3 linked regions of the Rattus norvegicus genome follow. The protein of the gene in region 2 purifies or fractionates together with the protein of the main gene of each other region. This does not show direct contact. Links are inferred from orthologs where the notes say so. Each region holds a gene or a part of one and is shown on either strand. Other genes may lie near its edges. The genes, in order: Strip1, Slmap and Strn3.

Region 1 (3,593 bases), on a different chromosome or scaffold from region 2:
ACTTAAACCTAGCACTAACTGGCTTGTGTGAGGGCAGCTAAGGAATGTCATCCTGAGAAATCTGAAGTTTCTACTGAAACTATAGCAAGCCCAGGAGTCAGGAACACTGATCCCCAGCAAACCCAGAACCTTAAAGTAATCCAGACTGACGTGGGTAGATGACCAAAGTACCACGTCCTCCTTCCCTGTACACTAGTAGGAAAGGCAGGAAGACAGGCAAGCACTTAGCTGGGCGGAGGAAGAGATACTTTTGAAAACTGACAATTTTCAGACATTTCTATGAGAGAACCTTACACAGCCTAGACTGAACTTGAACTATTTAGCCAAAGCTGACCTAGAACTTCTGATTCGCCTGCTTCCCCCTCTCAAGTGCTGAGATTACAAGTGTGTGCACTGCTATGCCTGTCCTATGTGGTGCTGTGTGCGGATGGAACCCAGGGCTTCTTACCTGCTAAGTAAGCACTCGATCACCTGTGCTACATCCCCAGTCCCCAGAACCTGCATCTACAGACAAGGCGACAGGGACAGTTTTGCTTTCTTTTAATGTAAACAGAATACACAAACACATTAAAAACCCCACCATGACATGAGACCACACAGAGTTTTGTATATTTACAGGCCATGACAATCAAGAAGAAACCAGCACCTCTGGCTTCAGGAAGCCTCACTCCACTTTTGACCACATCCAAAACCAGGGTGCAGAGGCTGTGGTATCTATCACTTCTGGACAAAACTCAGCAGGATACCGGAATGACACGAGATACCCCCAGAGCACAACCAAGGCGCTGACTCTGTTCCTGGCCCTCATGCCACCCCTCCTTCTTGACCAACTGACGTGCCAAAGCAGCTCAGGAGTCAGCATGGCCTCAAGACACAGCTGCCGATGAGAAGGGACACAAGGCCCTTCTCAGCTTTTCCCAGCCTGGGGCTACTTGTGAAATGAGTTTCACGCAGTCAATCCAAGGGAGGAGGGTAGAAACTGGGGAAGTGGAGGAAGAGTAGATCCCAGCTTGGAGATGACTGCTCCTGAGTAGGATGCTGGGAATCAACCAGAGGCTAACCTGGGTTCACTCACGGGCCCAGGACTGGTTCTGGAGGACTCAATGGAGTTGTGCTGCCACCTGGAGGGCAACAGGAGCACTGCAGCAATGGCAAGGACAGTCCCTCGGGTATGAGACAGATCACAGTCTTTTTCATCCCTCCTCACTGCAGCAGCTCTTCCCAGGAAATGGGCTTAGAGAAGACCTCCCTTTCTAGCCATAGGTCATAGTTCATCTGGAAGTCCTCAGGAAGATCTACCCGTTGGCCCAAGACGCTCTGCAGGCAATTGTCCACTGGCAAGAAGTCAGGGTTGCTGTGGGTCCGGTCATAGCGCCGGGCATTGAAGCGTTCAATGTTGGCACGGAGAGCACACTCCTCTGCTTGGAAGTCCCATGGCCGGGCATCGAGATCTGGGAAAAGCAGGAAAACCCAGTTAGGATTCAGCCCTATATAGCTCCTCATGATTTTAACCAAAAGGATCACTCCCAAACCCTCAGAAAGCTGAATAGAAATTCTTTCCCAGAAGTACGGTCAAATCTAAGGAGACAATCCTTAACGCTGAAAAAGAAACTTGCAGATAGATGGGAAAGCCTCCTGCCCCTCCAGGAGGGGGAACCAAACTCTTTATTAAGCACAGCCTCCCCTTGGCTCCAGAGGACAGACACATAACCCTACAGTCCCTCATCTGCTCATTCTCTCACCTCCATGACAAACGTCATGCACCACCTTGAGCCCAGATGCCAGGTATAGAGTTACAGAGAGATGTAACACAGCAACACCCACACAGACAACAGCAGACTGGGAGAAGACGCTGTAGACAGCCAGCAGTCTACAGAGGCCCAGAAGCAGGAAGAACACTGCTAACGCTCAGGGACTAAGGATGGTTTCCCCTGCCCCTGTGCAGTCTGTCTGCAGGCTCAGCAGGACACTGGAGAGCGTGGCTATCTGTGGCTGCTGGGATCTGCAGCGCTCCTGGGAGCAATGCTCAGCAGGTACTGAGGGTCATACTCTGTCTGGAGTCTTGGGTGTGACAGAGACTTGGGTGTGACAGAAAAGAAAGCCACAGACTATGGGACCAGGCGAGTGAGTGAGTGAGCACCCGTCCCTGTCTTAACGTTTGATTTCATTCCTAAGGGAATTAGAAAGCTAATCAGGAATTTTACTCAGGAGGCAACAGTACAGGATGCGTATGTTGAAAAGATTACAGGAGCCAAATCTGAGGCCGACAGTGGGAGGAGAAGCTAGAGCAGAGCCAGTGAGGATCTACTGCACTCAGGCAGCCAGGAGGTAGTAGGCCAGGAGGTAGTAGGCCAGGAGGCTGCAGCAGAGATGAGGAGTGGGCAGAATCTTACGGCAAATTCTAGAAAAGATGGAATTTAGAGTGGAGGGACAGAGAAACAGATGAATGCAGATTCTCAGCAGCTTCCCAAAGTCTTGCCCAGAGCCACAAAAACTAGATACAGGCCCTGCTCAATGCCTAAGGGCAGAGAAAATGAAGGTACCACAGGCAAGGAGTCCAAGGCGTCCCCTGCCCTACCCTCTCCCGCCCGCGCCGCAGGTGGCCTCACCATTGCCGTAAGCCCAGTCGTCGTTCAGCCGGTGCCGCACCTTCTGGTAGATGGCAGACATCGTCTTCATGTTGCTCTTGCGCCACTGTCGTCCCAAATACTTGGTCTGCACCTTGAGCAGCTTCAGCACATAGAGCTGCATCATGGCCTGTTTCACCTTCAGGGCCCGCTTCAGGATGGGCGCCGACTTGAACACCACCAGCATCTGGGCGGCCATGGTGGCAGCCATGGTGAGAAAGCAGTAAGTGTGAGTGCCACTGCACGGTCCCTTAGCACTTCTGGGGTAGCAAACGGGATGACAAGCCATGCAGTTTCTCTTGAACTCACTAGTCTGCTGGCATCTGGAGCTTTAAGCACTACAACTAGCAGAGCTATAGGCGAACCACAAAGGTTGGTCACCCTAGTTACGGGCCACTCTGTAATCTGGTTTCTGAGAACTCATGGACCTTCCTTGTTCCATGGGCAACCCAGGGTTAAGGTGGTTCCTGACTCCTGGCTATCATTTCCCACCCAGGATGAGGAGGACAAAGTGTCTCCATCCAGGAGGTTTGTTTGAGGTCATGACTGAGAGTCTCTTCCAGCTTCTGCTTGTACTCATCAAAAAACCAGAAGTCTGCAGACCTGAATGAGGACAATGCTGCCAGGCAAGCCGCACCTGAGAACCTGTCCCAGGTGGAGGGGACACAGCACATCCCAGGCTGGTTGCTCACCACTCACCATAGTCCTTGAGTGTTTCCACTTCGTTAGCTTGTTCAAGATCCGAAGCAGATTGATGCAAGAAAAGAGATTCCTCCAGCAAAACTGGTTGTTGTCACCAGCTTCCTACAGGGAAAGGCCAGACACAAACACAGCTGTCACGGCTGCAGGCTGTTCACTGGCTGCTCAGTGCAATGTCCAAAGGCCTGACTGACTTCAATGATTCTAGAATGCCCATCTAACAGCCAAAGGGGAACTCCACCCACAAGTTGACAGAGCGTCCAGGAT
Region 2 (4,330 bases):
AAAAAGTTTATTTAGTAATTCCTTAATTCAGTAGCTGTACTAGTATTACTTTCTTCCTCTAGAGGCTCAAGTTTCTTTCATTTCAAAACACCACTCTTGAGCACAAATTCTTCTCTTAAAAAAAAAAAATTAATCATGTCAGTCAGAAAGAGGGGGCAAAAAGTCAGAAGACAAAACTGGAGACGGTCCTATTAGTCTTATGTAACTTAGTTTGAGTTGGAATTAATTCAGTAGTTCAACCAAAACCTTAGGTTTAGGCTCAAAGATCAGTTCTTTAAAATATTCTCCATATATACACATTCTTGAAAAACTAAAAGGATCCTTTTTAAAAATATATATATATAAGTAACTAGCAAAGTACAGTGCCAAGATAAACAAGCTAAATTGGATTAAAAGTAAGGCCAAGCATGGTGACCTTTAATTCTAGCACCTGAGAGGCAGAGGCAGGTAAACCTCTGAGTTTGAGGTCAGCCTGATCAATAGAATAAGCTCCAGGCCAGCTAGTCCCTGTCTTTAAAAAAAAAAAAAAATGATAACTGACAATATTGGATATAATCTAAGAATAAACTAATCAATACTAATTTCTGCATATCATCAGATAACTACGCATTATTTACCAAAGAAATTAAAAAGTGACTCTTATGAGCATAGATTTCTGTTCATCCAACTTGTAAACAGAATTCCGAAGATGTAGTTAAAATTACTCTAGCTTAACTAAATTGCCTTTAATATTACAAATCATTTCATCGAGGCAAGTAAGTGTCAACCCTTACAAAAACATTAAGTTTACACTCCAGTTATCCTACCAGACAGACCCTGAATTGAATTCAACTACAAGCTATGTGTTAACTACATTTCAGCACAGACACTTGAGCCTCACTGTAACAGAGGCCACAGATTCCTGCATTGCTTTGGGAACTGGTGCTTGCTTAATCAAGCACTGAACTGCAGGCTCCCCTTTCTAAAAGGGCTGAAAGTAAGAGGTCACGTTTCACTATCTACCTTTCCTAAACGAATTAAGGTTTGGGATTTCACTGGGAATGACCAAGTTATCAAGAAGCCATCGCCCTACTGAAACATTTAGTAACAATACCTTCTCTGTTTTTCATTCAACCACTTCGATTCAATTTCTACTAGAATTCGGATACACAAAAAGCTGATTCCAAGACTTCGCAGAAAAGTGTCCTCTGGGAACAAACCCTAAGATCGAGTTTACATTAAACCTCTCAGAGAGGGCAAAAGGAAAGAAAAGTAAAGACTGTCAAACACTGTACTGACATTACCTTGCTCGTCTTGTGATCAAACCAGACGAGAGCATGGTTCCTTGACAGCACTTTGCAGTCAAAGGTGGCATTATTCTGCGCTGGTCGACAGCGTGCCACTGAGCGGCCGATCTTGATGGGCTCGTCCAGGTAGACATGTCGCTCCTGAAACGGGTGTGAGTTCGGGCGGCAAGTGAAGATGGCCAAGGCTGACGGCATCGAGGACAGGCTGGGGGGGTGTCTGGACCAGGGATAACGAGGAGCTCCTCCAGGTTCGGAATGCTCTTCACAAGCCTACACCCCTATCCCCCCAAAATTTTTAAATTAAAACAAACTGTGCATTGTCTAAGCATAACCAGTGAACATCAACAACTCTTCAATTGGGCAGGAAGACAAGCCAGAGCAAGCCCCATCACCTCCTTTAAAATACAGAGGCTCCTTGACCAAAAAAAGTCCCCAACTAGCAGCTTTCAGTCCATCTTCCCTAGGAAGAAAAAGCTCAAACATTGGGCAGCTTCGGCCAAGGAAACTCCTGGAAGACAGTTTGGGGACGGGAGGTATCCGAGCAGATGAGTCACACACAAATTCTTGTGTTTTGTTTGAGATCCCGGCCACTTCTCCCCTTCGGTAGCGGAAACGGTGCGGCACTGCAGCATGAAGAGGGTTGACTCGGCTCAGCCAGGAAGGTCCTCCGGGGCCCGAGGAAGAGGAGTGAAGGACCTCCGGGCAGCCACCGCCGGTCCTCAGGGGCCTCGGGGATGAGAAGAGGTGCGGGGACAGACGACGAGGAGGGCTAGAGGGCCACCGGGCCGGGCTGCATTGCCCTGCTGCGCCGAGGCCGCCCGGGAGTGGCAGGGGTCCCCGGCCCAGCGTGAGCCGAGGCTGCGATCCCGGGCTGGAGGCGTGGGAGGGCGGCCGGGATACGGGCGGTCCCTGGATCGCGAGTCCCGAGCACCTGGCGGGTGTCCCCGGACCAGGGCGGGGACCCGGCTCTGCAGGCCGGTGCGGACAGAGCGAGGAGCTACCCCAGGGAGGCTTGGGCGCCCGGGCCGGCGGGAAGTTGGTTCCTTGAGCTCTGGGCTCTGCTGCTCAGCACATGGGCCACCTCCCCTCAGGAGCGTCCTCGCGAGGGTCGCATCTCAGGGACTGGCAGCTCCCGGAGGACGACGGTGTGGGGGAGGGAGGCTGGCCGGGAGGTGGAGGGAGAGGCCTGGAGGCCGGGGCTGGGTCCGCCGCAGCCTCCTCCACTCGCAGCCAGTGCGGCAAGCTCAGGCGGTGGCGGACGAGGCAGGAAACTTTCCGACCTAGTGGGGGAAACACCAAAACAAACGGCAGTCAGGAACCGGCGCCCGCTCGCCTCAGCCCTCGCCCCCTTCAGCCAGCCCCCGCCAGTCCCCGGCTGCTTGCTCCGACCTCGGGCGACCTCTCCTGGGTCAGGCTACGGGATTCCGGAGCCAGGACGGAACGTCGGGTCCTGCCTCCCTCGCCGCCACCGCCACCTCCGCCGCCGCCTCAGCTTACCTTGCCAGCGTTGGCCGCCATAGTGACTCTGACTGAAACCTACCGGGTCCACCGCTACGGGAACGCGCACCCTTTTCAAGGGCCCTCCTCCGCCGTCTCCCGTGCCGTAGTCTGGGATGTCATGTGACCGACGCCGTGGAAGCCATGTTTGTCACTGGCAGAGAAGAGGGCAAGCTTATTTTTAACATGACCCCCGGCGCCATCTTTGTTAAGGGCCAGAAGCTTCAAAGCTCCGAACAACCTTAATGACCATTTTCGTTAAGGGCAAGAGAAACTTTGAGAGGTTGAATGTTTGGAAAACATACAGTGGCAACTTATGAGTAAGAAAGTACCAACGTGTACTAAATGTATTTTCTGTAGCTCTCACTGAAAATACTAACACGTAAAGAGGCTAGTTCCAGTCAAAGACTCATTAGCAGCCCCCGTAGCTGTGGGCAACTGAGTCACTCACCCCTGCACTTCCTATGACCAAATTCCACAAGTCCCTAGATTTGATGACGCCTGATTTGATGACCTCCCTCTGCTAAATTCTCCGTGCTTTATGAATTCCATCCCAAATTCCTGTCCTTTTCTCTGATGCAAGGATGTTTCTCAGAACTCCTTCGTGGATTCTTACCTGGATTAGTGAGAACAGAATGTTAGGGGGGGGGGGGGTGACTGTGGAGTTAGAGACAGGGTTTCTCCTGCTGTCCAGGAGCTCTTTAAGTAGCTGGCCTAGAACTCAGAAATCTACCTGCTACTGCCTCCAGAATGCTGGGATTAAAGGCATGTACTACCACAACCTACTTGAAAGTTTTAAAACACATTTCCAAAGAGGGGTCAAGGTCAAAAGTTTCTAATAGGAAAATACGGGGAATTACCCAACTAAGAATCTTGAAGTATGTGTTAAGCCTGGGAACCGAGAGGAGAAAGACCAGTATGTAAGGAGTCATTGTTCCGAAGAAGGAAAAAACGGTGGCCAGAGCTGAATGAAATCCTTAGGGAAAGACTGCAGAGAATCTTAATCTTGTCAAATCAGTGTCGCCTTCATTCTTGAGATTCCTATGACCACAGACTTCTCTATGAAACGTTGGACATGTCTTTAAACTTCTTTAGGACCCTTTTTCTCTTCTATAACTAAACAACAATATACAACCCCTTTGTAAAGAGGCTTTCGGTGGTGTCAGACCACATTGTTTAACAGAGCATTCATTTCACTGCTTCTGTGACACTATGCTGTGTCCAGGAGACAAGGATGAGCACAGCCTTAGTCTCTGCCCTCTGGTTACATAACCAGTGTAGTGGGTTTGAGACTGAAGGAACAAAATAAGGTAACAACTCTGATATATTCGGAACTCTTCTAAAGGGAGACAGGGACATCCTCCTAGGAGAGGCAACAAAAGCTGAATGAAGGATGGTTGGAGGACTATAATAAATACCAAATTTGCTGAATGGTTTATTAAATTGCCAGGAAGAGGGATAAGTAGCAAAATGAGGCTGTATAAAGCAATACATTCGTGTGCCTGGCACAGTGGCTAAGTAAATATTTAATACATGAATGAAAATAA
Region 3 (3,646 bases), on a different chromosome or scaffold from region 2:
CTCACTAAATCTTGCTCATTGTTAGGGTTATGAGTCAGAATTAACTTCATTAATTAGAGAATTAACTTCAATTAAGCCATTTTATTCATACCCAGCACTTAAAACAGGTAACAGCATATGGACATACAGGAAGTAAATTCTCGACTGCCTTGATTACCTAAAATTAAATGATGGGCATGAATAAAAATGAATGATTCTTGTTTTAAAAAGATCTGTTGGAGGGAAAAGATAAATTTGTAAATCAACAGAACACTTCAAGATCAACTTCAGAAATCAAAAGCCACATAATGAAAATCTCAGTCACAAAATCTAATAAACTAGAACCAAATAGCTCTGATTATTAATACCACGTATCCTTGATCTTAATTTACCTGCTACCATACACTCAGACACACAGAGCTCACACAGTACATAGTAAAAAGCCACCTATAACAGGCAGACTTCCCCCACCCTGGGATTCTTTGTCCCCTTACCCCATTCTGTACCATCCCCTGAACTCCGTGCTTCACCAGCCCCTTCACCATCTTCTGCAGTCACTAAAAAGTCGAATTCTTTCAGTGCTTCCTCAGTATCAGGATCATCAGTTAAGTCAGCAGCTAAACCTTCATTACCTATCTGTAAAGAGAAGATAAGCCAATAATTAATACTTTTTAGTCTATATTTTAAAGAGTTCATTTAGTATTTCCACCCAACAGTACTTACACATCTACTTTAAAGTTATTCAGATCCACAACTCTCCTTTCCCCTAGGATTGATAAGTCTCAAACTATGCCCTAGATAAACAATTCAACACTGCTGTATGAAGATCACTTGTAACAAACGAAGCAAGCGAGGAGGGTGCTGGGAAAGGCCAGAGTTCTACTCAAGAGTTTCTTTAATTAGAGTAGGTTCACAGATGATCTCTACTAAAGAATCATCTAAGCTATCTTAAATTGCTGATGACACTGAGAAATCTGTACTAGCTCTGATTCACGGAAGCAGAGAATAACCACTTAGTTATTAAGAATAAACTTAGTTGTGCAACAAATAATAAAAGCAACCTACCTCCCAGAACAAAATAGTAAGAAAAATCAACATCTTGGGTTTCTGAAATGGCTCCGCAGGAAAAGCAGCTGCCTGATGGCCTGAATTTTATCTTTATAAACCAAATAAAGGTGGGAGGAGAAAACTGCACAAAGTTGCACTTCACATATGTGCTGCAGCACATACACACTCCTCCATACATATTACACAGCACATAGCAAGTTTTAAGAAGTAAATCTCTACCCAATAGAGTATATCATACATGTGAAAAGCTAGAGAAAGGTTGAAACTGCTTTTGTAGATTGAAAGCTTTTGACAAACACTTGCCTTTTTTTCTGTATTACTACAAAATCTCCAAGTAGTACAATTGAATTTACTCACATTTTTTTTTCCTTTTTTGATAGACAGGGTATCAAGGGTATCTAGAAGCCAAATGATTTCAAACTCACTATATAGGTGACGACATCCTTGAACTCTCTATCTTCCTGCCCTCACATCTCAAGGGTTGAACTACCACATCCACTATGGTGCTGAGGCTGAATGCAGGAATTGGTGCATACTAATCAAATACTCTGACACACAGCCTCAGCCCTCTCTATTTTTTTTAAATACACTTAAATATTGAACATTACTACTTTGATGCTTACCAATGGGACATAGTCTACTTGTGGTCCAGTAGAATTAACTCCCCATCTACTACTAAAATACATCAAGTCTGTTTCTTAGTGTTTGAAGAAAAGTCACCTTTTATTAATCCTCACCAAATAACCAGAATGCTGGCACATATTAACTATCCATACATCAGTCTCTCTCCCAAGGTGGGAGCCTTTACACTACGGTTTCTGTTCATTCATCTCCCATGTGATACTGGACATGAAAATATAAACTTCAGTGTGACTCCACACTGGGATAAGATTGAGGAGTGTTACTTTATTAAAAAAAAAAAAAAGGTGCAAAGCACTGGACAAATGCTTTAGAAACAGACTCCTCTTAGATCATACATGGAAGCATAATCCCCGCAACATGAACGTGAACTGAGTAAGAGCTGTCAATTATCATAAACCTTTCGAGGGACGACCAAAACAATGACTGTATACAGGAATAACCTAAGTCTCCTACTTTGTGCTTATGGATCCGAAGTTTGTCTTTTCCTTCCGGGATGCCCTCAATCATGTCATTTTCTTCTTCGTCACTGTCATCGGCATTTTCTAAGAAATTGAATGTCTCAAGAACATCACCAGAGGGCCTGTAGAAAAGGGAAAAATGGTCCCAACTATTTCAAAGATTGACTCTGATATTTCTTCCTGCTTCCTAATTCCTGGATCCTTCTCATTATCTAGGGATACTATGAATTGAACCCAGGATGTCAAACATGCTAGACAAGTGTTAAATCAATAAGCCACATCCTGACCCTTCTAATTTCTAGTTTAAAACTACCTTAAGCTAACATTTGTATTTCAAACACAACCTAATTTTTTGTTGTTGTGAGATAAGATCTTACATAGTTCAGATTAGTCTCAATTCATTATGTAGATGAAAATAATTTTTAACTCCTGATCCTCCTTCCAGGAGGCTCCTGGTCCAAGACATCCCAATCATTATAATGTATTACCTAAAATTTTTATTCTAGAGTATCTTTAAAGATTATTTGTGCTCTGCAATTAAAATAAGGAATGTTCTGAATTTAATGAGTTTTATCCAAAGCTTTTTGTCTAAAACATTTTAGGTAAATGCTACTAGAAAATGAAATCTAGGGACTGGAAATGGCTCAGCAGATAAGACTACAGGTAAGAGATCTTTCAGGGGACCTGAGTTTGGGTCCCAACACCCACATCAGGAGCTCACAATAGTGTAAAGCTTTAGCTCTAGTGGATATAATGCCCTCTTTGGGCCTCTGCATGCATTTACATTTATATGTGCATAACACCCACACCCCTCCACATACACAACCGGCAAAATTAAAAATAAGTCTTTAAAAAGAAAAGCAATCTACTAAGATTAAATGATCAAGCATGCTATAATTTCTGAAAAATACCAGAAAAAGCAATTTAGCAATTTTTTTATAACTACAACCACTTATACTTTAGCCTAAATATTTGAAGACTAAATAGTAAAACAAAAGCTAAATTTATTAAACCTGCCCATATTTAAAATTATTAAACATATATTACACAAGATATACCAATCTGTGGGGAGCAGAGGAAGTTCTGAGTAGATGTGCATTGTTGACAGAACTGGTCAGGCTTGGTGTGGTCATGCATGTCTTTGATCCCAGTGGTTGGGTGGCAGAGGCAGGAAGATCTGTGAGTTACAGGCCAGCCAGAGCCACCTAGAGAAAGAACCATGTCTCAAATATAAACGAAAAAGCAAAAAAATTAAGACATGAGTGATGTCAAAAGACCAAACCTCAGCCCCATGAGGGCTGTAAACCCTTTACTGGATGAGGCTCATGGTCGTGCAATACCTTCCTCGGATCCAACTGCGAATGCTGACAGTTTGTGTAGAAATTCTGTCTAACTCCCAAACCCAGAAACGTCTTGAAGACTGCTCCCCTGTGGAGACTGTCCCTTACCAAAACTAGCTAATCCTGATTCAGTTGCACAACATGAACCCCTGCTTCCTT

The links.
Region 1: the proteins of Slmap (region 2) and Strip1 purify together in Homo sapiens (affinity purification with mass spectrometry; 4 studies listed by BioGRID and IntAct, with this or other methods). This does not show direct contact. The link is inferred for Rattus norvegicus from reciprocal best matches to the Homo sapiens genes SLMAP and STRIP1.
Region 3: the proteins of Slmap (region 2) and Strn3 purify together in Homo sapiens (affinity purification with mass spectrometry; 5 studies listed by BioGRID and IntAct, with this or other methods). This does not show direct contact. The link is inferred for Rattus norvegicus from reciprocal best matches to the Homo sapiens genes SLMAP and STRN3.

Annotation. Positions count from the first base shown.
Region 1 is NC_086020.1:197,936,046-197,939,638, forward strand, and holds the end of Strip1 (striatin-interacting protein 1), read right to left. Parts: intron 3,432-3,593; coding exon 3,327-3,431; intron 2,815-3,326; coding exon 2,610-2,814; intron 1,452-2,609; coding exon 1,204-1,451; 3' UTR 524-1,203; downstream 1-523. UniProt on the Homo sapiens protein: Plays a role in the regulation of cell morphology and cytoskeletal organization. Required in the cortical actin filament dynamics and cell shape. Part of the striatin-interacting phosphatase and kinase (STRIPAK) complexes.
Region 2 is NC_086034.1:1,789,036-1,793,365, forward strand, and holds the start of Slmap (sarcolemmal membrane-associated protein), read right to left. Parts: upstream 2,868-4,330; 5' UTR 2,784-2,867; intron 2,567-2,783; 5' UTR 1,482-2,566; coding exon 1,284-1,481; intron 1-1,283. UniProt on the Homo sapiens protein: Associates with the striatin-interacting phosphatase and kinase (STRIPAK) core complex, forming the extended (SIKE1:SLMAP)STRIPAK complex.
Region 3 is NC_086024.1:74,824,442-74,828,087, forward strand, and holds part of Strn3 (striatin-3), read right to left. Parts: intron 2,270-3,646; coding exon 2,143-2,269; intron 616-2,142; coding exon 474-615; intron 1-473. UniProt on the Homo sapiens protein: Calmodulin-binding scaffolding protein which is the center of the striatin-interacting phosphatase and kinase (STRIPAK) complexes.